Linked DNA regions of Schizosaccharomyces pombe. The protein of the gene in region 1 interacts with the protein of each later gene in a pairwise test. Each region holds a gene or a part of one and is shown on either strand. Other genes may lie near its edges. The genes, in order: snz1 and mei3.

Region 1 (7,578 bases):
AACGTGAACGACTATCACTAGGCCTAGAAGAATGTAATGCTGGATGTTTCTTGCTCAAATCTTCTGTTGAATTATTGATTGCAGATTTTATATCTCCCTTATCGCCACGTTGTGGTTCCTGATCCCTTAAAGGAGGATTACTTTGATTATTGGAGGGTTCTGCGTTCGTTGACTGTGGAGCAACTTGACCAGGCTTCCTTCGGGGAATTCGATAAGCTATCTCCAAAGATTCCCATTCTTTTAAAAGAGTTTTGGCATGATCTTTGACCTCCTCGTTCTCATGGTCGCAAAACTCTTGAACAACGGGCTCAATATTTGAATCTTGGATTTTATTTCTTGTTAGGCGTGGCCAAGATAACATGGTTTTTATAGAACGTAGTATAAACTCAATATCAATGCTGAACTTCTTCAGCATCAAACCAAAAATGTTGTAACCACGTAACGCAATGATCGAACGGCATACACTAGGATCTGAAGTCAAGAAAATGCGTTCCATTAACTTTCTTGTTAATAAGTCATCCTTAGTTTGCAGGAGAACGCCAATCACTTTAGTAGCAGACTCAGATGTCAGAGGAGTAGGTTGCACCTCTTCAATAATTTTGCTAGTTTCGTCAATTCCCTTTTTACGACGTTGTCGACGTGCAGTGATGTTTTCCCAGCTATCCTCTTCATCTTCAATACCAAGAGCCTCTCGGACATTCTCAGGTAGTTTCGATTGAGCCTCAGTTTGCGTCTTTCCGCCAATATACCCTACACAGCAAGGTTCTCCGCAATAACAAGGTTGGGCTTGTGCACCATATCTATCGACATTATAGTCAAAAGTAAGCTCTTCACCGCGAATAATATCTCTTTTACAAAATATACCCATTCTTAGCTTATCTCCTACCATCCATTTATCAACATAACAATTAGGTCTACAAGAGTGATTGCAAAATCTTGCGAGCGACCCCCTTTTAGTAGCATCAATATATTCCCCCTTTTGCAGCATCATGAAGTAAAAGTGTTTAATTCCCTCACTATCGTATTGTCGCATACGTTTACGAAACTTTTGTTCAGGTATAACTTCTCCAATGTATTCGTAGACAAATGTGTCTTTGGGTAAATTGGCATCAGCGCGCAAACCAAACCCTTTCTTTTCGGTTAAGAAAACATCCACCTTTGCAAATTCATGTCTTTGAAAGCGTTGGTTTTGACAGGATGGTCCACAAACGTTATCTTCGTCCGTACACTCTATAGAAGTCATTCTATTAATACAATTGGATCCGTGCCCACAAGCAACATTAACTCCATCTACCCAATGAGGCCGACAATCGCAAATCATAGCTTCGTTTTCTGGAGGCTTACCAATATTGGCGGAAGCATACTGACATTCTTGAATCTCTTCGAACGTAGTTAGCGCCTTATCTTTCGCAGAATCCAGGTGATGAAAAAGTTGAGGAGGAAGTGCCTCTTTTCTAACATATTTGCTTTGAGACCGAGAGGATGCAGACGATGGCGAGGACGTAGAAGGGGAAGGAGCACTTTCGTCTTTATTCATCCCTTCGGCATCCTCTTTACTTTCGAAATCATGAGATGACGAAGAAGATGGTGATGAACCGACTGCCTGGACAGCGATTGTGTCTTTTGACCAAGAAGACTTCCTATCAACGTTTTCCTCATTCAAAGGAGTTAAAACAGAAAGAGATGATGCCGTCTGCATTGTATGATAATGGACAAAAAGAAAGAGAAAGTTAAAAAATCTACAGTTTTATTGAACAAAAAGTAATTGCCGAAGGAAGCCAAAACAATAGAAAGAAGACCAGCTGAAATTTCACCGAAAATCTTCTTTTTAGAAAATTTCCGAAAATATCTCGATGCGTAACATATAGATCTTCTAACGTTTCAAAGTTTCGTGTCAAAGAAACAGTGAGATCAGGAAATTGTCTCAAGGAAGAAGTTGTGGCTGTTGGCGGCGTTCCTTCTTTACTCGCGGAATCCTCGTAGGGGCTCACAGTACCGGAGTGTAAACGACAACTCTTGACTTTAGTGTTAAATATTAAAGAAACCTATTAAAAGAAAAGGCTTTAAAATCTTTACTTTCATTTCATTCAAGCATCTACAAAAAATCACCATCACGCGCAACATTTGAATGCCATTCTTTTCCAGAAATTCCATAATAGTTGTTGAAGAAATAACACTGTTAGTGTAATAAAATTCACTCTGTTTTTTACACTCGGCGCCTTATGTAGCGAATATCTTTGAATTAATAATATCAATCATACTATGTAACTGTAGTAGGTTGTTTATCCAAAAAACATATGGTACGCAAAGATAGACACTAATTATCAACAATGAATGAATAAGAAAAGCTTTTTCAACGAATATTTTGAGTGAGGCAGTCAGCGTGCTCATACTGGATAGACCCAGAACAAGTAAGTTTACAATATGTTCAATTTACAAATCCAAGCATGTGGTATTGAATTATATTTGGTATTCTTTTTGTTCCCTTGGTCTTATTAATGTAAAATCATCATCTACCTGCATCTATTGAAGCAGTAATTAAACAGAAGTTTGAGAATCGGTAAAGAAAGAAACTAGGAATGTATGTAATAAAGTCATTTTATTTTGAAAATGCTCATCCTGTTAATTCTAGGTAGATTCTTTATTTCTTCAAACCCAACCACTTTTGTTAATATTGTTTAAACACATAATATATACATTGGCGAAATTGAAATAATGCTAAAATTTTGTCAGAGCATTAGTCATTGTTAATTTTAAAAAGCTATTAAACAAAAATAAAGGCTAAGAAAAAAAGATAAACCTATTCCATATGTTTATATATGTGTATCTTATCTTAAAAGGTCTTTAACTCAAGCTATACTTACTACAATCTATATGCAGCTACTTGTCCTTCATGGCACGACGGTGCCAGTAAAGTTAATAAGAAAACCATACCGAACAGGGGCCAAGTTACGATGAGACAACATGTGAAGAACAAAGGAAGAAGCGATTTCAAGCTTTGCAAAAGGTTTGACCAAATTTAACGAACAAACGTTTCAGCTGTTACCTTGAAAGCAGTTGGCAATAAAAGAGAAAGCGAATTTAATTGCTTTAAATGTTTTACTTTAACTCTTAGATATAAAGAGTGCGGAAAAAGTGGCAGAACCACAAGAAAACAAGATCTCAATCGCAAAAGCAATAAAACTGCAATTCCAAATTTTGTAGATTTTCTACCATTTATGAATAACGTGGGTTAGTGAAATGTAAAGAGATCCGTGTTCGATAGGCATTCCCCAGACAAATTTGACTGCTTTAAACGTCACAAAGCCGAGTAGCAAACGCTCCCACAACCAAACACTACACAAAGGTTCGTCGACAATTTATTTTGGAAAAAATGCACAGCAGCAAGCGAGTTATGACCACAAAGACTCATGTTGAGCAGCCTGAGTCTTCAATGCGTCCTCAGCTTCCCGAAAGCATTCAAGGCTCCTTAATGGACGTGGGAATGCGGGTTCGTAAATCAATTTCCACCGGATACAAGTCGAAACAAACCACGTTTCCTGCCTATAACCCACCGCTTTACAACACTGTTTCTGAAAACATTGCTTTAAAAAATACCGCATTTTCTTATGAGCCTAACGGTACTAAGCGTCCATTCGAGCAAGCAATTCCTAATTATAACTGGGCCAATCCTCCTCAAGACTTTGAAGAACCGGAATGGTTGAAGCCGTTTGACGTTGTCATGGAGGGTACCAATGAGAGATTATAAGCTAAATGTGAATCTCGTATATCTCTTCTTTAAGGATAATTTGACACCAATCCTCATAGTTCCAATTATTCCTTCGTTCATTAGTCTTTGACTTTGTTGATTCCCTATACCATTAATACATTTTATTATTGGTTTTGTGAGTGACGGCTAAGTGATTTTCTACTAATTAAACCCCCTCTTCTTTTGGGCATTTGTCTCTCCTTGTTAATTAAACTCTTTACATCTATGAATGATCTAGTCATATCTTTTTTTATTTTATCTTATTTGCTTATCGTTTTCTGCTTGACCAACTTATAATGGATTACTTTGTTGTCGTTGAATATCTGAATAGTAATTTTTTTCTAATACGTACATAATTTTTTGAAAGACTCATTCCTCGTATTTCCTCAGTAAATGTCACTTTTTTGGTGTACATGTAGATCGACCAAAGTAACCTGTTGCGGGCGACTTTTGTAACTTGTTATTTCTACTTTAAATCTTTTTCTTTTATGATGTTAGGGCGTTGGTAGGGGTTGTAACGTAAAAGGAAACAATTTTTGATATTTTCTCTACGGCATGTGAAAAGTATTACCCAACATGCCACGGAATTCTACGCTGTTTCAGTAATAAAATTTTATTATTATTATTATTATTATTTTTTTTTTGAAAAGATGTAATAAAATGCTTATATTTATAGATTACAAAGAGACAGTAATAACGTTACTCAGCTAACTAAAAAAGTGCAAACTAAACAGCGAATATGGCAAAAAACAGTCATATTTAAAAAAAAAATAATAATTTGAGAGGGAAAAATGGAATAATTTATTTAAAAACAAAAGATACCATAAAATCAATTAATCTACACATAAAATTTACAACTAGGATGTTATTTTGATAAAGTTTGTTGTAAATTTTTTGGTACTTCTACTCATCCGCTATTAGCTTGAAAAACAAAAGTAATTACTACCGCTTTATGGCCAACTAGTTTCATAGGGAGGATGACTGCATACAAAAACGCTGAAACCCTTTCAAATGAGTCTATAAGACAGCAGTGGAAAACGAGTATTTCAGTTTTTAGGTACATTGCAGTGTTATAAATAATATGTGTTTCTTTTCAGATTTTTTTTACTAGTCAGTTATTGTTATACCAATCAATTCCTGGTATGTTTATATTAAACAACAAACAGGACACGAGGAGTCCTTGAAGTATTACTACATTTCCAGTTCAACGATCTTGTTTCAAGGTAAACAATGTTAAACATTACTGCATAACAAAAATCTAATGACAATTGAAGCAGCGTATATAAAGCGATGCATAAAGCCCTTGTTAGGAAAGGCTCTACTTGCGGCTTCTTAATTAGTATTGATAAAATCTATTTCCATGGACATGCAAATATCTCGCAAGATGGATACATCGATCATTCTTCGGCGACTTGGATACCTCAGTCCCCACAAAATAAGATAAAGAATATTGGGTGTCGGTAGTCAGTATCCTAATCCATCAAAAAATTACGGACATTGCAGACGCTGATCGGTAACATACCAAGAAATTATCTGGTAGAACGCTTATATCCATATTTCCGATGCAATCGGTTCACGCCTGTTACCATTGATCGCTAAAAAATGTATGCAACTTTCCATAAAGGTAGTAAAGACATGACTTATACGCCGGATATATGATGAGCAATTTCATTTAGTAATTCTTTATTGTTTTGTACGTTTTAAAAGTATGACGAAGCATCTCAAAAGTATGAATTGTCGGATAATTGCAGCATGTAAATAAATAGGAGGATTCTTTTATTAAAGTCGACTTTAGGAGAGAAACAGTTTTTGTGCTTTCCCTCCAAGCATAACAATTTGACGTTAGGTTTAGCAGGTCGTTTAGATAAAGAAAGACATCCGCCTCTTTGTAAATCGCTTCAACATCAATTGTAAGTTGCTTACATCTTCTACGCGCCTCCACTGTATACTTATCGGGATCAATCAAATGGTTTCGGACATTTACTTCCTAAAGTAGTGTATGCTACGCTTCGTTATATTACATCTTGGTAAGCATGAAAATGTATATAAGGCGAGTGTTGTTTGCTATTCGATTAATTTCTTCCATCATCACAGTCACATTTTGTGTGTTGACATAAAAACTTGGTCAGGTTCTGAGTTTCGAAAGGTTCATTTTTTTGATTTTTAGGTGTTTTCTTTAAAGGATCCTTGTATCTCATTTGTCTAAAGGCAAAGACCATTATATCTATAGAAAAATCATTGTTGCATTTTCGTTTTACCACTTTATACATCCTATTGTTTGCTTGGAAAAAGTAAATTTTAATTAATCGCATCTACTTAATCATGTCTGCCGAAATTAAGGGATCTACTCAAGTCAAGGCTGGTCTTGCTCAAATGCTCAAGGGTGGCGTTATCATGGATGTCGTGAATGCAGAGCAAGCTCGTATTGCTGAAGCTGCTGGTGCTTGCGCTGTCATGGCATTGGAGCGTGTTCCTGCCGATATTCGTGCTCAGGGCGGTGTTGCTCGTATGTCCGATCCCTCTATGATCAAGGAAATTCAAGCTGCTGTCTCAATTCCTGTCATGGCTAAGGTTCGTATTGGACACTTCGTCGAGGCTCAAATTTTGGAAAGCATTGGTGTTGACTATATTGATGAGTCTGAAGTTTTAACGCCTGCTGATGATATCAACCATATCGAGAAATCCAAGTTCACTGTTCCATTTGTTTGTGGCAGCCGTAACTTGGGTGAAGCTCTGCGCCGTATTTCCGAGGGTGCTGCCATGATTCGTACCAAGGGTGAGGCCGGTACTGGTGATGTTGTGGAGGCTGTCCGCCACACTCGCCAAATGCAAGGTGAACTTCGTCGTGTGAAGTCTATGTCTCCCGATGAGTTGTACACCTATGCCAAGGAGATTGCCGCCCCCATTGATTTGGTTAAGGAGTGTGCTCAATTAGGCCGTTTGCCTGTTGTCAACTTTGCTGCTGGTGGTGTTGCCACTCCTGCTGATGCTGCTCTCATGATGCAACTTGGCTGTGATGGTGTTTTTGTAGGATCTGGCATCTTCTTGTCTGGTGACCCGGCCAAGCGTGCTCGTGCCATTGTTCGTGCCGTTACTCACTATAACGATCCTAAGATTTTAGCTGAAGTTAGTGAGAACTTGGGCGCCGCCATGGTTGGTCGCAGCGTTAGCTCTTTGGAGGAGAAGGAAAAATTGGCTACTCGCGGGTGGTAAATATTAGAGAAGGATTTATATTCTCCGTAATGCAGATGTCATTTAATGTTTAATTTTATCTGTTGATATTATTTTTACTCACTAAATAAAAAGTTTTTTTTTGTTTCATTTTGATTTAATCTCCTAGTAACTTTGAATTCATCATTGTATTAAGTGTTAGCTTAGTCTGGAATTTATGACTAAAGTCGTAAATGTTTGTAAGTCAGGTCAGATTCAAAACGATGTTTGATTCAGTGCGTTATAATTTCTTTGTGTTTTAGCAAATGAAGTCTTTTTAAATGTCAATGAGTCGTCTATCTTTTCTGGTGATTATTACCACTCGATCTTGATGTGCGCCATCCTGTTCAATATTCGCTTGCCAGTTGGTATCATCAAATAATGATTTCACTATTTTAGCTTGATGAGTGCTACCGATTTCAAAAACTATTAAGGATAAAGGTACAAAATCCTTGGCGTTTCTTTGTAACATCCTTTTTATGTACTGACTAAATTTGTAATAAAACTCATTACCTCCGTTTTTAGCTAAAAGAGCCAGCTTGGGCTCGTATTTGCGCACAGAAATGTCGGTTTGTGCAGCAAAATCATCATCAGATATATAAGGAGGATTGCATAGCAAC
Region 2 (17,459 bases), on another chromosome or scaffold:
TGGACTTCATACGATAATGAGATAGCATCCGTATTGCAAACCGCCTCTAGTCAATCAGATAAAGAGTTTGAAGAAAAGGATAACAACTCATCTCCGGACGAACTTTGAAACATACTTTTCTTTTGCTTTCATATTATTTAATTCGTGATTGTACGCCTGAAATTTTATAATCGTTTTTCTAATTTACTTGCGAATTTGCATAAGTTAGAAGAGAAAAGAGTTAAAATCAAAATGTTTTAATGAATTGCTTGAATACTGAGAGTATTGGCTTTAGGGATTAAAAGGGGTCAAAATTAGTATATGTCGTCCGTTTGAAATGAGCTAGTCATGAGTTAATTTTTTCCTCCAATCTTGTTAGGACCATTTTGCTGGTGCATTCTACAAGTTGTATACAACGATTATGGTGCTAAGAAACAACTAATCGTGAGCAATGCTACGTTTATTGAATGTTTGTTGAAGACGCGTATTTTCATTTATTTAACTATTCGATACTATCTTCTACTTTGTTCAAACATTATTCGTCTATTATGCTGTAATAAATATTGCATTCAAAAGTCTTTACTAAATAGAACATTTAATATATTCGTGTTTATAATCATAGGGAGGAAGTATACAGCACAGTGAGTCGTAAGCTTAGGCATATGCCCTCCACTGAACGTAACCACTACCAAGTACCAGTATCAATATGATTGATGATCAGAGAGGTTTGTTATTGATGGGAAAGTTTTTGTATTTATTAACGTTAAAAAGATATGCAGGTTGATTCTGTAAACCAAGAAGAAAATGTTGATTCTGGTGAAACAAAACAGAACACTGTAACTGAAGTTCCAAGAACAGTTTTGCAAGGTGAGTTAATGCGTCAAAATTTATTTATTTCTAACAAGGATCAGATGTGGAAGCAAATATTGCTGCCTTAATGCAAGCCACCAAACAAAGAGATCCCAGACTTGTCTATCGATCATTAAGAACCACATCCAACATTTGCCATAGACTGAATGCGGATGTTTTAGGCCAGTTAATTAAGAAGTATTATTCTTTTGATAATTCTTTAAAAAATGAATTATTGGAACTTATTGATATGCCACAAAATGGTGATGATTCTTCCACTTCTATTACAAATGGAAATGGCAACACAATTTTTCCGGAAGTGGATATGTACTTACAACTGCTTCTTAGCATGACACTTTATTATAATGAAAAATATGAGGTAGGCGCTGAATATATTAAGAAGGTAATCGCCCGTTTGCAATCCTATGATCGACGAACCTTGGATCAAATTGCAGCCAAGTTATATTTCTATTACATACTATTCTTTGAAAAATGTAATAGGTCTGTAGAATGCAGGAACACTCTTTTGTCCGTTCATCGTACTGCATCTTTACGTCACGACTCTGAAACTCAAGCTATGGTTTTGACATTACTTCTTCGGAATTATATTCAGTTTAACCTATATGATCAAGCAGACCGTCTCGTTTCGAAAACATCCTTTCTTACGAATGCTAGTAATAACTTGGCAATTCGCTACCAATACTATTTGGGTCGAATTCGCGCCATTCAACTTGACTACACGACCGCTCATGAACATTTAGTTAGTGCTATACGTAAGGCTCCCAACACAGTATATGCCGTTCAATTTCTGGAAGCTGTTTACAAATTGCACATCGTCGTACAATTGCTTATGGGAGAAATTCCCGAACGCCGCATTTTCCGCCAAAAATCTCTCGAAAAAACTTTAGTGCCTTACTTACGTATTAGCCAGGCAGTTCGTATTGGTGACCTTTGTGCTTTCACTGACGCGCTTTCCAAGTATGAGGCTGAATTTCGCTTCGATGGATTGTATACTTTGATATGCCGCCTTCGCCATACCGTCATTAAGACTGGATTGAGGATGATCTCCTTATCTTATTCCCGTATTTCCCTTCGTGATGTTTGTATAAAGCTTGGTTTGGACAGTGAAGAGAGTGCCGAGTACATTGTTGCTAAGGGCATCCGTGATGGAGTTATTGATGCAAGTATCGATCATAGTAATGCCTTTATGGCTAGTAACGAAGCCATGGATATTTATTCCACCGAGCAGCCTCAACAAGCTTTTCATGAACGTATTCAGTTTTGTCTTGCCCTTCATAATGACAGCATAAAAAGTATGCGATATCCCATGGATGCTCACAAAAGTGAACTCGAAGGTGTGGAAGAGGCACGTAGGCGTATGGATAAAGAAATGGCTGAGGCAGATTTAGATGACGATGAGCCTGATTTGGGCGAATTTTAAAAAACTTATGGAAAGTTTATAGATCTTAAAATATACTTTCAAAGTTGTTCAGTTGTATGTTTCTTTAATGTCTATGAAAACTATATGTAGTTTACAGATTGAAATATTTAGTGAGTTTGCGAAGCTGTAACAGAAGGAAAGTTGTTGAAAAACAGTTTTCGATCGGTGCTACAACGCTACAAATGCGTTTGTTGTTTAAACTGAGACTTGGTCTTTGCACATTGTAATAAATGAGTAATACGCTAAAAACACAGGGGTTTGGAGAATGGTCGTGTGCTTTATTTTCAAATTTGTTGTTTTATATTTCGTATATAATACACGTATGCAAACACATTTATGGTTATGCTGTGAAGCAATACAGATTTGATCTTGGATTATGGTTCCAATCAAAGGTATACTTTAGTCTTTTTAATTATAAATGGCGAAATGGGCAAAAAATTTTTGTGCAAATTTATTTTTTGTTATGCATAACTAGAGCAAATAAAGCAATGCTATAAAATGGCTTCCGGCAGAAAATAATAACCACAGTGGATATAAGCTAGTTTTCTAACGTGACTTAAGTAACACTTTATAAAACCAAAGCTATACATTAGTCTCTCCCATTACCACTTTGTCAATTTTAGCTAAGTTAGTAGATATGATCAACACTATATATTTAAAGTGGAACGGCAAGCTCATTTTTTACGTTATAGTAATTTAACAATTTTGTCGATATTTTGAGCAATGGTGTATTCTGCTGTGGTCGCTACGGCGCATATCATCAAATATCGCCTGTCCGGTTTCTCTATTCGCTAAATACGGGAAGATACTGATATAGTCTATATTGTATTTCACAAGTAAAATAGTTTCTGAGTTAGCCATCATGTCGTCAGTTAAACTGATCCTCGTTCTTCAGTTCACTTACAAGCTCTTTTATTGATAAATCGTTATAATACCGCCCCCATAATATAATATCTGTAATTCTCTTTAATTTTGCCCTATTTGTAATACAATAGTATGCTGGATCCCGAAAAAATTTATCGTAACGTAGCGTATCCTTAAAAGGATAACAAACTGTTTAGCGGGTATTTTGCAGGTACAAAGCAAGTTGCGCCATCCTGAAAAATTGCTTACTCAGACAAAGTCGAACTCGTGTGATTTAGTGCATCCATCGGTTATATGTTATTTCTACCTCCGTCCACGTTCTTCCACGAGCAAACTACTGACTTTGTAAAATCGCAAAAGCAAACCAGTAACGATGGCTTTGAAAAGAATTAACCGTGAATTAGCTGATCTTGGAAAAGACCCACCGTCTTCTTGTTCCGCCGGCCCTGTTGGCGATGATTTATTCCATTGGCAAGCTACAATCATGGGTCCTGTAAGTCGCGGCTGTAATAGTGCCTTGCGCACTGCCAAAATTTTGCTTGCTAGGATTGTGCAGCTAACATGATATATAGGCTGACAGCCCTTATGCGGGTGGTGTCTTCTTCTTGTCCATTCATTTCCCTACGGACTACCCATTCAAGCCACCAAAGGTATGTAACTATTTAGTCTTGTGTAGATTATGTAAATACGCATTGTAAGCTTGTGAATCGGAGGAGGAAGTTTGTTATATACAATATGAATTGAAGAGTTGATTGCATCTTGTTTTTCTGGAAAAATCGGTATGGTTGACAGTGATGCAAAATTTTTTAAGTGTTATGGTGAAAGAGTATACGCAGAAGTTTTTTTATAATTGTTTACTCTTACCTTTTATCTTCATTTCTTTATGTTTTACCAGCGGAACTTTATCGATTTTTATACGATTGCGTCCATCCAAGTGAAGCGAGGGCAATTACATTGCGTAGCATTACGAATCTGATTGATAGTCTTTTTTTTTTAATGATAACTAACAGCATATTCGTAGGTAAACTTTACAACCAGAATCTATCATCCCAACATCAATTCAAACGGTAGCATTTGTTTGGATATCCTTCGTGACCAATGGTCTCCAGCGTTGACTATATCAAAGGTATTACTGTCTATCTGCTCATTGTTGACAGATCCTAATCCTGATGATCCGCTTGTGCCTGAAATTGCGCACGTCTACAAAACTGACAGATCCCGTTATGAATTAAGTGCTCGTGAATGGACTAGAAAATACGCAATCTAGAGTTTGTTTCTGTGTTGATATTAAATATTCATCTCTTTTGCGAATTGTTTTCTCCAATGTATTGTATAGTTTTTTTTTTTTTTTTTTGGTTTTGGTTTTTTAAATAAATAGTAGGGGATGGCGATAATGTAGCTAGTAAAGTTGCATCGTAAAATTGAGGATACAAGCTGCCTTTAAAACAAACTGTATTATGTTCGAGGATAAAGTATGATTTGATTTAGATAATTTTTATGATTTTTTGAATAGTACAAAATTTTTCTTTGTGTTTAATAAGACCGAATGGGTCCAGTTGGATTATTCCAAGAGCGTTTGTGCATATATTTTTAAAAAGGTACGTAAACACTGCCGATTAAGTGAAATATTGTGCAAGTAAAAGTAGAATAACACGAATGGAAAGTCGTGTTACGAAGAGAGTAAACGGCTCTACGTCTTTAAGGTTTTGCTAAAAATATTTATTAAACAAAACTAAGTAATAAACAAATTCCTTGTAGCGCCTTTTTGCTGAAAAGAAAATGATAATACTTGACATGCAATACGAAGTGATACTGCTATAGACACAACTCATAATAGCCAGTCAATTCAACTCCTAGTTTTGTATTTGTCTTTACAACGTCGTCTATTGAGCTATTTTATGCTGTGATGTTGAGTATAAATCAACGAAAATTTTGATTTCATTATTACTGAGATATATATTTTGTAAGAGCTTTTTTTTTAACCCTCTCACTCTTCTTTACTCATGGAATATTTACTTTTATGAAAACGCTTCTCGTATCCTGTAACATAAAAGAAAAATAAAAATTTATTAAATTAACTGTTATATATTATTTATTTTGCTTAGAGAATATACATGGCCCCTTAACTCAGTTGGTAGAGTGTGAGATTCCAAATCTCAAAGTCAAGTGTTCAAGTCACTTAGGGGTCATTTTTTTAAAATCAAGAAACTTGATAAATCATAAGCTTGTTTAAGTTGAAGTTTTAGTAGGTAAAGGAAAGTTGAAAGAAATGTAAAATGAAATGTTTTCTTAAACATAAAAAATAACCAGTTGATCGGAACCAATTTGAGTTTGTAGCGAAATACCATGTTTTTGAGTTGCAAACGCATAAAAACTTGACGGTGTGGATCGAATTTAGCGAATTAAAATCATGTACTTCATAACAATAATAATAGTTTAACAATAGGAGAAAGAGCTGAACAATTATAAATAAATTTATGCAGTACATACAGATGAATCTGATGTTTCTAGATCCGGTACATTTGCACTCGAAATGTTTATCACATAACGAACAATATCGATTATTCAATACAGTCTGTTATTAAACTATAACGATACGTTGTAATTGCGTTGATGTTTCACCCAAAATCAAATAGTGTAAAATCATATACTTGCGGATCTATGTTTACAGAAACACTGTTTTGTTTCAATATATTTCACAATTCCTTCAGTGCAACGCAGTGTAGTCTGCTATTCTGTTGCCTCAAAGTCCAAAGTTTCCATATGGCGCAAAGTATAAAGGTACTGCTGTAACATAAGGGTCTTGACTCACCGAGCCTCGGTCTCTAGATGTGCTAGATGTCCTATGATACGGTGGGTAGTTTGTAAAGATGCGTGGCGTAGTGACAACATACGAGGTGCATCGAATTCAGCAACATTCCATCCCTCGTAACTATATAAAGTGCATGGTATTGCGTATGCAGAGCTGAAAATCAACTTTTAACCAACCTTTCGAAATTTGAAATCATGCCTCATATGGAAGACAACGGTAGTGAAAAGGAACAGCTGTTTCTGCAACACATTCAAAATCTGCCTCAAGAGCGCTTGGATGCGATTCGCGGGCATCCTGAGTTGGTTCTTAAGGAAATCGATGAATTCACGTATCCAGACGGATCTGGAGTGAGAATGTGTATAGGAGATGTTAAAGGTGGATTTATCGTTGGGAAAATTCGTGAACGGAAGCCGAAAATCATGGTTGAGTTAGGCGGCTATTTGGGCTACTCAGCTATTTTGTTTGGAAATGAAATCTCCAAAATTCCTGGTGGTCGTTATTACAGCTTGGAAGTGAATGAGGATTATGCCAAGATTGCTTACGAGTTGGTTAAGTTGGCCGGTCTGGATGAAATAGTCACCATCATGATTGGCAAGGCTTGCGACAGTTTGGTCGAACTGCAACAGAAATTATTGCATAAAGACCTTGGTTTTCAAGCTTTGGACATGGTATTTATCGACCACTGGAAGGACCTTTATGTGCCTGACTTGAGGGTTATTGAATCACTTAATATGATTGCTCCGGGAACCCTTCTAGTGGCCGATAATATTATAACACCTGGTGCTCCTGAATATCATAAATATGTTAATATGAGTCCTGAAGAACGTAGAGGATATCAAGCCAAGGTTCGCAATGTCAATGGATTCGATTTCATCGGCAGATGGGATTTGATATATAAGACTGAAACTAAAGAATTTGAGGGTGTCATTCGCAATAAACACCGCAAAGACGCTGTCGACGTTACGGAGTGTGTTGGCTATGCTAAAAAAGATTAGGTACCAAAGGCATTCCCTAATCTTTTTATAATTGACTTTATGTGGTATCTGATACCTTTTACGATCTTTTGAAGCCCAGTTTATACAGCATACAATCGTGTCTGGGATCCCATTCTTTGCTCGTCCAGATATTGTTTGCTAATGTTATAAATTATAGTTGACAATGAATTGATTTCTCTTTTAATCCCGTTGCTTGATTCTAAAAACGATGTGTAAAATGTCAAGTATAGTATAGTAATTTAAGTTTCCTGTTCACTATTACATTTGGAATGTGCCCATTCTGTTAGATGAACGCATGATCGTCAATAGAGAAGTACTAAAGAAATCGTTAACTTGCATACTATAAATGTGCACTGCTAATTACTCTACTCGCAAATACGAAGAACACCTAGCTGGATATATCTACCTTTCATGCAATGATTGAGCGAGCACGAAAGCAAAGTGGTAAGCTTGCATTGTGGAATGTAGCAATCTCTAAAAACACATTACTGTAATACTGTTTTTTGCGTTATTCAATTCAATGTTGTTTAGCCTGAGTTATTTTTTAAGGAAATCTAACGAATGATATCGAAACTTAACACGAGTTTGATTTGTTTACGCTGCTCTCTAAATGAAAAGCGTGTCGCGCCGCGTAGCATGCCACTTCGCAAGCATTAAAAGCTGGAAATGAAGAGTAGAAAATATAATAGTAGTAGTTCATTTGAAAACATAAAATATACTTGTTTCTTACTTCTCATTTGGTCTTTACTATCATTTTCTAAATTTTGCATTTTCACTTTCTGTACTGTGATTGTATACAAAAAAATAATCTTTTATTTGTTTAATAGTTTTTTTTGTTTCATTTGCAAATATCAAATACTTTACACGAAATTGAAAAACCTCCGTGAGCCATGGGTTTGAAAGAAATGTGCTGCGTTAGTATAAGTATGAGTGCTTAGTCGCTCATTTCTGCATCCATTTTCTTATCCTCTTATTCTTTCTATTATCTAATTCACATCAAACTATATTCTACTTTTACAATCACTTTCTACTTCTAACAATGAGCTCTCAAAACACCTCCAACAGCCGTCACCCAGCAAGCAGCGCTTCTGCTTTACCAAATCGCACCAATACGGCAAGACGCTCAACTTCTCCCAGAACTAGTACTGGAAGCTCCAGTACTAACACTAACACCAAAACTGTTGACCATGCCGGTACCACTTTCATCAGCTCTACAAGCAAACGCGGCCGTTCTACCAAAGCTGGATCGGTACATAGCGTTCCCATGAAACGCACTAAACGTGTTCGCCGAACCCCTGCACAACGCATTGAACATGAAAATAAAGAAAATATTCAGACTGAAAAGGTTTATAGGATTAAGCCTGTCCAAAGAGTTCTTTCTCCCTCAGACCTCACTAACGAACTAACCATCCTGGACCTATTTCATGTTCCTCGACCTAACGAGACTTTTGACATCACCGACCGTGTAAACAACACCTCTCGCTAAGCAACTGCTTAAATTAGCTTAATTTTCTTCGATCCTGAATGACTAATGCCGAAGGGGAATATGAACACCACATAAAAATTGAAAGAAATTCTCTTTCGAGCATTAATTTTTATTAATTAAACCGCTGTTATAGGAAATTTTCATCCTAACTATACAGCTATTATATTTGAACTTGCATACTTATTTTCATGTTTTCCATTTTTACAACAAAAAAGAAAAAAAATTAAAACAAATTTAGTCCTTTCATTCATTCCCCAGTGCTTTCAGACGCTTTTTATAACAATTCTCCCTTGAGTTTCATTTCTGTTCATAGTCTCATTATTCTTTATTGTGTGTTGACTTCTTTTATTTTTAAACAAAGGTTCATTTTTATTGTCGTTCTCTTTTTTTTTTGAAATTCTGCTACTTTCTCTTGGAATCCCCATCAACGTGTTACCGAATTTGATTCATCATTATTCATACATCTTCCATTTTTGTTGGACATTCGCTGTCTCCAGTTTTTACTTTATCTTCCCATTTTAATAATGTGAGTCTTTACATTCATGGGATTTCCACGTCGATTCTTTTTTATTGCTTAATGGAAACGATTCTGACCGGACATCGTAATTAAATCTCTAACAAAGGCTACCTAATTTATACTTCCTCATCCGTTTACTATTTTTTGCTTTAATATACGTTAAGCAATAGAACAATTTACCATAGCATATTAACAAATCTAATACACTGTCATTCGTTCCCTATTAATCATATTTTTGCTTTGTAATTTATTTTTTTTATTATGGAATTAAAATATAAACGGTATGAAAGTCGTAAAAAGAAAAACACTAAAAATAAACAAAAGTCAAGAGACATGCGTATTTAATAGTACGCATCGATAATCATAAAGAATATGCAACAATGTTTGGATATCGAATTCATACACATAAATGAGGTGTCTCAATCTATGAAGAAGCAGCTATGCCGCGGTGTTGCTTTATAAGCATAAAGCATAGTCGAGAAAAAGACAAAAGACCAAAGGAGTAAACATGAACAAGGGAAATGCATTCGCGATATACGGAAATTTCTACTTGGAAATTTCAAAATAAAAAACAACTGCGCACCAACGATAACAAACACAGGTGCTAGTTCAACCACACAGAAAGTTTTACTTATATAAAGGAAGAAAAAAAGCATAGAAAAAGGAAAGAAACGAACTCGCATTTAAAAAATGGAATTGACGAGATCAGCGCCAGCAGTTGCACCAGCACCGAATACAAATGCAGAACCCAAACCACTACCAATCTTCTTGAATGTTGATGAGTGCTTGTGCTCGGTCGGTTGTGCAACCACGATGGGTTGTTGAGGCGCCTGAGGATAGGCTTGGACAGGTGGATATGGTGCTTGCTGAGGTGGATATGCTGTTTGCTGATACTGCATGGGAGGTGCCGAAGAAGATGCTGCTGGGGGATAGTTTTGCTGTGGTGGAGGAGGAGGAGGTTGAGCTTTAACGGCAGAATCTTCCAACAAACGCACATAGTTAGAAGGGAAGATTCCTTCCTTTCCATTCAATTCACCACGCCACCAATCGTTATTGACATGCTCAAGTACAATGATAACTTCGCCAGCATGGAAACCTAAATCACCAGCATCAGGGCCAGGAAAGTCGTACATCGCCAAAACCCGCTCAACGTTCTTATGGGCAGTATTGGGTCCAGGATAGCTGGGAGGAGGGGGAAGCTTCTCGGTAGATGAATTGACACTTGAAGCCTCGCTTTGCTTCTGTGGGGCAGGCACTCCAGGCAGCTTACGAGGTTCCTCGGGTGTCCTCTTTTCTCCAGAGTTTTGAGACAAAGACATTGCTGCTACGGCAGACGCTACCGATCCTGCTCTTTTTTCCACAGAGCTCTTCCGCTTGGGCAAGGGAAGGGGTACTGAGGACTCAACAGGTTGAGCAGCTGGAGCAGTTACAGGACTAGCGGGACCGTCCTGTAAATGGATATTTGCGTGAACCCAATCCAAAGCACTCCTTTCAACTACGCCCTCATCAACAAGGAATTGGAAGTCGTTGTAGATTCCACGAATAACATGATTCAGGTAGTTTTTATGATCCATATTTCTATGGAAATTTATTACTTAACTCTTTAAGATCTCAAATAAAAATTATTTCAGTTAATTCTTATCAATCTTTAAAAGTTTTGCTGATTAGTGGTAATGGCGGAAGGTAGGTTTACAACTACCGCTTGGTGTGTATACCTGGTAGGTATATATATGGAAAAAACATACGAAGATCGTGGCGCCAAAATTCCAATGCTTTCCACCGGGGCTGAAAAACAATGCAATTTTTTTTAAAAAAATCCTTTTATATAGTAAAATGAGAACTTGTGTGCCATAAGTTTTCGTTAGAATTTTTCAAAAAATTGAATTATGTGAGCAAGTTATTAAGTGGAATTATTTTTAACTTAGAACATTTGAACTGTCAAGTTCAATGTATCAGGAAAAAATATTGAAAATTTGAGAAAGAATTTTTTCCTAGGTATGGCTACAAAATATCGAACAATTTGATGAAATAGGAATTTCTAACCATTTGTTATGTCTCAATTAAATTTCGCCGTATGTAGAGCCTTTGCTTTCAGATATTCGTAAAAACATACAAAAAAGCATGGCACTAGCTGTGTTTTCGTATAAATAAAAAAGGTCCTTAGTATAGTTATCCAGACGATATTTTTCAATTTCAAATCTCACTTCAGGTACCTGAAAACATCCCTAAGTAGAAGTAATATTTTTGTATCCTGACTTGAAATCTGGGCTTTTAAAAAAATGATTTTGGTGCTTTAGAATGCTGTGTGAATTGAATTTTCAATCTCTCAACAAATGCGTCTCAGCGCAGTATAATTGGTTTCCAACGGAAATTTATTATTTGTCAAAAATAAAAATAAATCTCACAAGTTGTGTATATTTGACAATTCCAGCAAAGCCGCATAGACGGTATGCATGGTCTTTATTCTTCCAAAAAAAAATATTCAATAATCACATACTATAATATAGCGATTTGAACAAGCTAAGTAACCGTTTGAGTAATGATTCTTTCATTTATAAGTCATTCTGATCCTTGACGAAATTCATATTTTGTGTCTATTTTCATTCGTATTAAAACTTAGATTACATTGAAATTACAGCATTGGAGAAGCGGCTATATGCATATGAACTCTTTAAAGGATTAGCGATAAAATTACGTTTTTTTTGAACGCTAAAATGTTTGCAGTAATTTTGGTGAAATTCTATTTTCAACGTCTTCATTACCACCCAAATACCCATACTGACGTGAAATTGGACTAACTTGGAGAGGCTTATTCTTTGTGAGAAATTGTTTTCTCCGTTTTGTATTTGAAGAGACAGAAAAGATTTTAAATTTTTTTAAAACTTGCTAGTCTTGGTTATACTTTTGTTACTGTTTTAACTTCAGTTTTTTGTCTTGTCCAAATATTACGATTTTTGAATCGATTGTTGGCAATCACTCAAATCAAGTAATGTTTCGAAGGGGTTTAGTTTTCTCTAGGCATTGTCATTACAGCTTGATTCGTCCTCGATTTCCTTTGAATCGTACGTGCCTAGCGCGTTTTGCCGACGGTCGCAAAAATCTAGCTACTGACAATCGAACGCAGACATACCAATCATGGCGTGGAATGATTTCTATAAGAGCATTGCTTCTTGCAGCTGCAACAAGCGTTGGCCTTTATGCTTATTTCCAACATGAAAAGAAAAAAGTGTTGGAGAGGCAAAACGACAAGGTTTTGGCTACCATAGGTCGTCCCCAATTAGGAGGTGCTTTTTCTTTAATTGATCATCATGGAAATCGAGTTACTGATAACGATTTCAAGGGAAAATTTTCCTTAATCTACTTTGGTTTCACCAGATGCCCCGACATTTGCCCCGACGAGCTCGACAAAATGTCAGCAGCTATTGATATTGTAAACAATGTTGTTGGAGACGTGGTTTATCCTATTTTCATAACCTGTGATCCAGCCCGTGATCCTCCGCAAGAAATGGCTGAATACCTTGAAGATTTCAATCCTAAAATCGTTGGTCTCACAGGATCCTATGAAGAAATAAAAGATATTTGTAAAAAATTCCGAGTCTATTTTTCTACCCCTAAGAACATTGACCCTAAAAAGGATGATTATCTGGTTGACCACTCGGTATTCTTCTACTTGATGGATCCAGAGGGTAAGTTCATTGAAGTATTTGGTCGCAACTCTACCTCTGAAGATTTAGCTCGTGCAATCGGTTCTTACTATTTGTCCCGAAAGAAACAGAAATAATTAAATACCTTTAGCCTTTCATGTGTTTTGATTTTATGCTGGGTTACTACTTTTTCCATATTCACTAATTTTTACTTAATACTTTTAAAAACAATTTCCCACTATTTTCTGGCGGTACACAGATTTATTTTCTTTTTCTCTTTGATTCGTAAAAATGATTTTGTTGAATCCTAGCTAGAGAAGCGCTGCGTTCTGGTTTGAAATATTTCGACATAAGGGGAAAACCCCTTTCTGCAAGTTTATTCTTACTGGAAATTTAAAAACGTGTTAATTTATTACTATTTTTAAAATCCGAAAAAATTGAATATTTTGGAAGGTGTTTATGATACTATCTTTTCATATCCAAAAACCCTATGCATTTACCTTTAACGCAAATAAATGAAGAAACTGATTTTACCATTACTCTTATTTAAATCAATTTAAAATATTTAATAAAAACAATTCATTATGTATCTTCATATAATGTACGAAACCCGTGTGCGTTTTACATGTTAAAGTTGTTTAGCTGAAATATCTCATTGGGAAAGTCATCTGCATGCATGCAAAGAACTTTTAGCTTCTCCTCGATATCTATTTAAAAATAAATTTGCTCTTATCTAGTAAAGGTATTCACTATTTTCATTGCTATTTACAATTCATCTATAGTAGATTTAATCTTCAACGATATAAGGATATTTACAAATATTGTTCGTTATACCATTATTGTGATTTTTAAAGGCCCATCTCATCTACGACATTGCCTTAGCCTTTTTACATTTAAGTGATGCCCTGTGCAAGCAACATTTAGGACCTATGGGGATTCAGCTTTCCACTATCCAGACCCCCCAATTCCATGAATTGTTCGAGGAAGAGCTTCCAGAATATCACAATGAAAGAAGGTAAGTCAAAGAATTCTTATTCTCCCAGCAATTCTAACGTTACGAAATTTAGTCTAGGGGATTCACATTTTTTGCGAACGTTTCGCATGCAAGATCGCAAGGGATATGATGTTTTAATCAAAGTATTTGTAAATAAACTTCCGGAAATTTCGTTGTCAAGCATTGTAAATTTGTTGAAGGGTAGGTCATTTGTTTATAGTCTCATTTACGCGAATCGCATCAATTATGGGAATAAAGACTAACTAAAACAACAGAGGAGCAAGAGAATATCTCATATAGAGTGCCAAATGCCGTACCCTATATAAAAACGTTGGTTACGCTTCGCGCTGCCTACCTGGTGCGTCCATACGTGACTCACAATTTGTATGATAGAATTTCTACTAGGCCCTTTCTTGAGTTGACTGAAAAAAAGTGGATAATGTTTCAATTATTAAAGGGAATTTCCGATTGTCATAGACTTGGTGTTTGTCATGGTGATATTAAATCGGAAAACATTTTAATTACTTCTTGGAATTGGGCTTATCTATCGGACTTTAGCTCTTTTAAACCTACTTATTTGCCAGAGGATAATCCTGCTGACTACGGCTATTTTTTTGACACTTCATCTCGAAGAGTCTGTAATATCGCTCCCGAAAGATTTGTTCCTGCATCGCAATTACAACCTGCTCCATTATCGCCTGCAATGGATATTTTTAGTCTTGGATGTGTGTTTGCAGAACTGCTTTTGGAGGAGTCGCCTCTTTTTACGCTTTCTCAGCTTTTTAGCTACAAGGCCCATGGGTCTTACGATTTACAGTCTGTTCTTGAGCAAATCGAGGATAAGAGTACCCAAGTAAGAAATCTTATATAGAATTCATTCTACGTTAGTTTACTAACATAATACTTCTAGAACATGATTCTAAGTATGCTAGACAGAGATCCCAGTCAACGATTGTCGGCTGATGCCTATTTGCAGAAATATCGAGGAACCGTTTTTCCTGCATGCTTTTATGACACTTTGTATGATTACTGTATTGGTTTAGTCGATCCAAGCGGAATTCTTTCTGCCAAGCAGCCTAATGACGCTTGCAGTTTGTATGGTTCTCGAATTGACGACATTTACAGAGATATTATGCCCCCAAATAATAATGACATTTCAAACCTTATGCACACCCCTCATGAATATAATGGAATAGATTCTTATTCTGTACCCCTTTTTACCACACTTGATGAATTTTATAATAAAAACCCTGCTGCCAAGAATTGGTATCTAAGACTGTATAATACTATGCAAGAAAAAAAAGGATTTGAGGATAAAGAGCAAGGTTCCACACCTGCACCTTCTCCTTCAGTCATTGAGGATATTTCATCTATTGAAACGGATGAAAATCATCTTTATGGTGCCGCTGTTCTTCTTCCCATAGTTCTTTCCACTATTAGACACGTGAATACAAGAGAATCTAAGATAAACGCTTTAAGTTTGGTGCAAATTTTATCAAGGAACATCTGCGATGAGTCCAAACTTGATACAGTTTTACCTTTTGTTATGACTTTGCTTCGTGACCAATACGCCGATGTAAGGATTAGTGCGCTTATTACGATTACTCGCCTAGTTAGTAATGTAACCTCTATTGCTCCGATTAATGCATTTCTTTTTCAGGAGTATTTATTTCCTGACCTTCAGCATTTTCTTTTCGATATGAATTCTCGTACTCGAGCAACATATGCATCCTGCCTTCCAATTTTAGCCAAACAAGCTTCCAAATTTTTAAATTTGGCTCAATCATTAAGGAATGCTGGTATTTTATCGTTTCCTGAATCCGAATATGAAAATATAAATCATGGAAAGGCTGAATTGTTATTTGAAACCGGTCGACACGATTTAGTAGTTACTGTAGAAAGGCACGTTTCTACTCTTTTAGCGGACAGCTCTTCTATTGTTCGTAGATCTTTGCTGAATGCTTTGGCTCCGCTTTGTGTTTTTTTCGGTAAAGCAAAGTCTAACGATTTGATTTTGAGCCATCTGATAACTTACTTGAATGACACGGATTGGATGCTTCGTTGTGCATTTTTTGAAAGTATTACCGGTCTATCCATTTTCATCGGTCCAAGGAGTGTAGATGAGTATATACTTCCCTTGATGCTGCAGGCTTTAGTAGATCCTGAGCCAGCTGTCCTTGAGAGTGTCTTGGGATCTTTTTCTGGACTGATCGAATTACACTTATTTGAAAAGCTTGTTGTTGTTGATATCTTACAGCTTGTGCTTCCACTTGTTGCTGTACCTAATGCTTATATTCGAAGAGCTGCCTTGTCTGTTATTTACTCTGCATATCAAAGTTTTGATGATATTGATAGGGACTGTATTGTAACTCCTTTATTAAGACCTTACTTGATGTCCAATTTATGTGATATAAACTCTTTAGAAAAGCTAGATCAATTTATTTTGCCTATGGTATCTGATAGTGTTTGGTCTACTTTGACCCGCTGGTATGAAGAATCCGAAAACTCAAGCTTTTGGAAGTGTGATAAAGATGCGTCTTACTCGTCTCTTGATGTAAGCAATGATTCGCTTTTAGGAAGAACCAAAAATTTGCAAAAGAGAGAAATAATGCACCACGCAGAAGTGTATACTCACAAAAAAATCTCTCTAACTGGCCATGTGATTATAACTTCCACAGAAATGCTAGAGCTTAGTGAAGATGACCAGAAATGGGCTGACATCATTAAAGAAATGGGAGTTGATGTAAAGCACTTATGGGTACTGGCTAATTTGAGAGATTATGTTAAGAAAACGAAAATTAATTTAAATGGAATCAACTATAAACGACAAAGTGGATTACGGGAACTGAATACTTACCCTAATGCTCCCTTGCACATATTACCAGAAACCATTTTTTGGAACCCAGAAAGACCCCCTTCGTCTTCTATCGCCAATGAAACTTTCTTGGACAGAAATTCTTATGCAGAATCCATTCAAACAAGCCGCTCCTATAACGATGACTTAATTGCTCGAGATCCCATTGCATATGTAGGGACGGATATGACTAATGCTTTTGGTACGACCACAAAACCAAAAGACGTTTCACAATCAGATATCAAAGTTGATATTAATAGGGAGTCTAATTCTGATAATGGAGAGACCATTACTGGTACTCATGATGTATACAGACAAACGGACAATCCTGAAATTAAACTACCTTCAGACACTGCTAGCTCCAAGGTTGACACACACAATCCCACAGTCACTCAACCAACGGACGATACCGGTGGGTTGAATTCTTATAATACTGAGAACCCCTTACTCACAAATAATACTTTGGAGCCTTCCTCTGTAGAAGCAATAGTCTCTTCTAAAGATTCTGACAAACATGCTAAAGAATCGAAGGGGAAAAGCCTCGCACCGTTGATCTCTTCTAGGGTTTCAACGAATGATACAACTAATGTTGCCGGTATTCGAAGCCAAAGATCATTTACTACTCATATCGATTTGAAAAAGCTTACCACGAGGCAAAATGGCGCAAAAAAATCATCGTATACTGGAACTAATCCATGCGTCTTAAATTATTTAAATAAAATTTATGCAGAAGCAGCGGCTTCGACACTTAACGTTGGTGCTGCTGTTTCACCAAGCTGGGCTTCTAATATACCTTTGCGTCGTAGAACAAAGGTGTCTGCGAAGGCTGCGAATAAAATAGTTCAGACTCATGAATGGCATCCAGAAGGATCACGAGTTGCTCAGATATATTTAGGAAGCCTTCTTGATGGAGGTACGAAGAAAGTTTTGGTTAGTCCAGATTCATCTTTTTTCGTTACCTTGGGATCTGACGGTGTTGTAAGAGCATGGCAATTAGTTGAAAGTGTTCGTCATATTTCAACTA

The links.
Region 2: the proteins of snz1 (region 1) and mei3 interact in a two-hybrid assay, tested with the Schizosaccharomyces pombe proteins (2 studies listed by BioGRID).

The regions. Positions count from the first base shown.
Region 1 is NC_003424.3:5,409,116-5,416,693, forward strand, and holds snz1 (pyridoxal 5'-phosphate synthase (glutamine hydrolyzing)), read left to right. Parts: upstream 1-5,822; 5' UTR 5,823-6,070; coding exon 6,071-6,961; 3' UTR 6,962-7,078; downstream 7,079-7,578. Other genes in the region: histone lysine H3-K36 methyltransferase Set2, read right to left, coding at 1-1,699; spd1 (ribonucleotide reductase (RNR) inhibitor), read left to right, coding at 3,374-3,748; mtq1 (S-adenosylmethionine-dependent methyltransferase), read right to left, coding at 7,236-7,578.
Region 2 is NC_003423.3:711,827-729,285, forward strand, and holds mei3 (protein Mei3), read left to right. Parts: upstream 1-7,892; 5' UTR 7,893-7,979; coding exon 7,980-8,426; 3' UTR 8,427-9,164; downstream 9,165-17,459. Other genes in the region: UDP-glucose--glycoprotein glucosyltransferase Gpt1, read left to right, coding at 1-108; 19S proteasome regulatory subunit Rpn3, read left to right, coding at 686-704, 751-846, 891-2,269; ubiquitin-conjugating enzyme Ubc4, read left to right, coding at 3,507-3,626, 3,706-3,783, 4,155-4,400; cmt1 (catechol O-methyltransferase 1), read left to right, coding at 6,140-6,940; lsb1 (SH3 domain-containing protein), read right to left, coding at 9,627-10,517; copper chaperone Sco1, read left to right, coding at 11,933-12,724; serine/threonine protein kinase Vps15, read left to right, coding at 13,517-13,602, 13,655-13,782, 13,857-14,434, 14,492-17,459. UniProt on the Schizosaccharomyces pombe protein: Acts as a critical meiotic inducer by binding non-covalently to protein kinase ran1/pat1 inhibiting its enzymatic activity. Inhibits ran1/pat1 by acting as a pseudosubstrate for ran1/pat1 instead of its natural substrate ste11.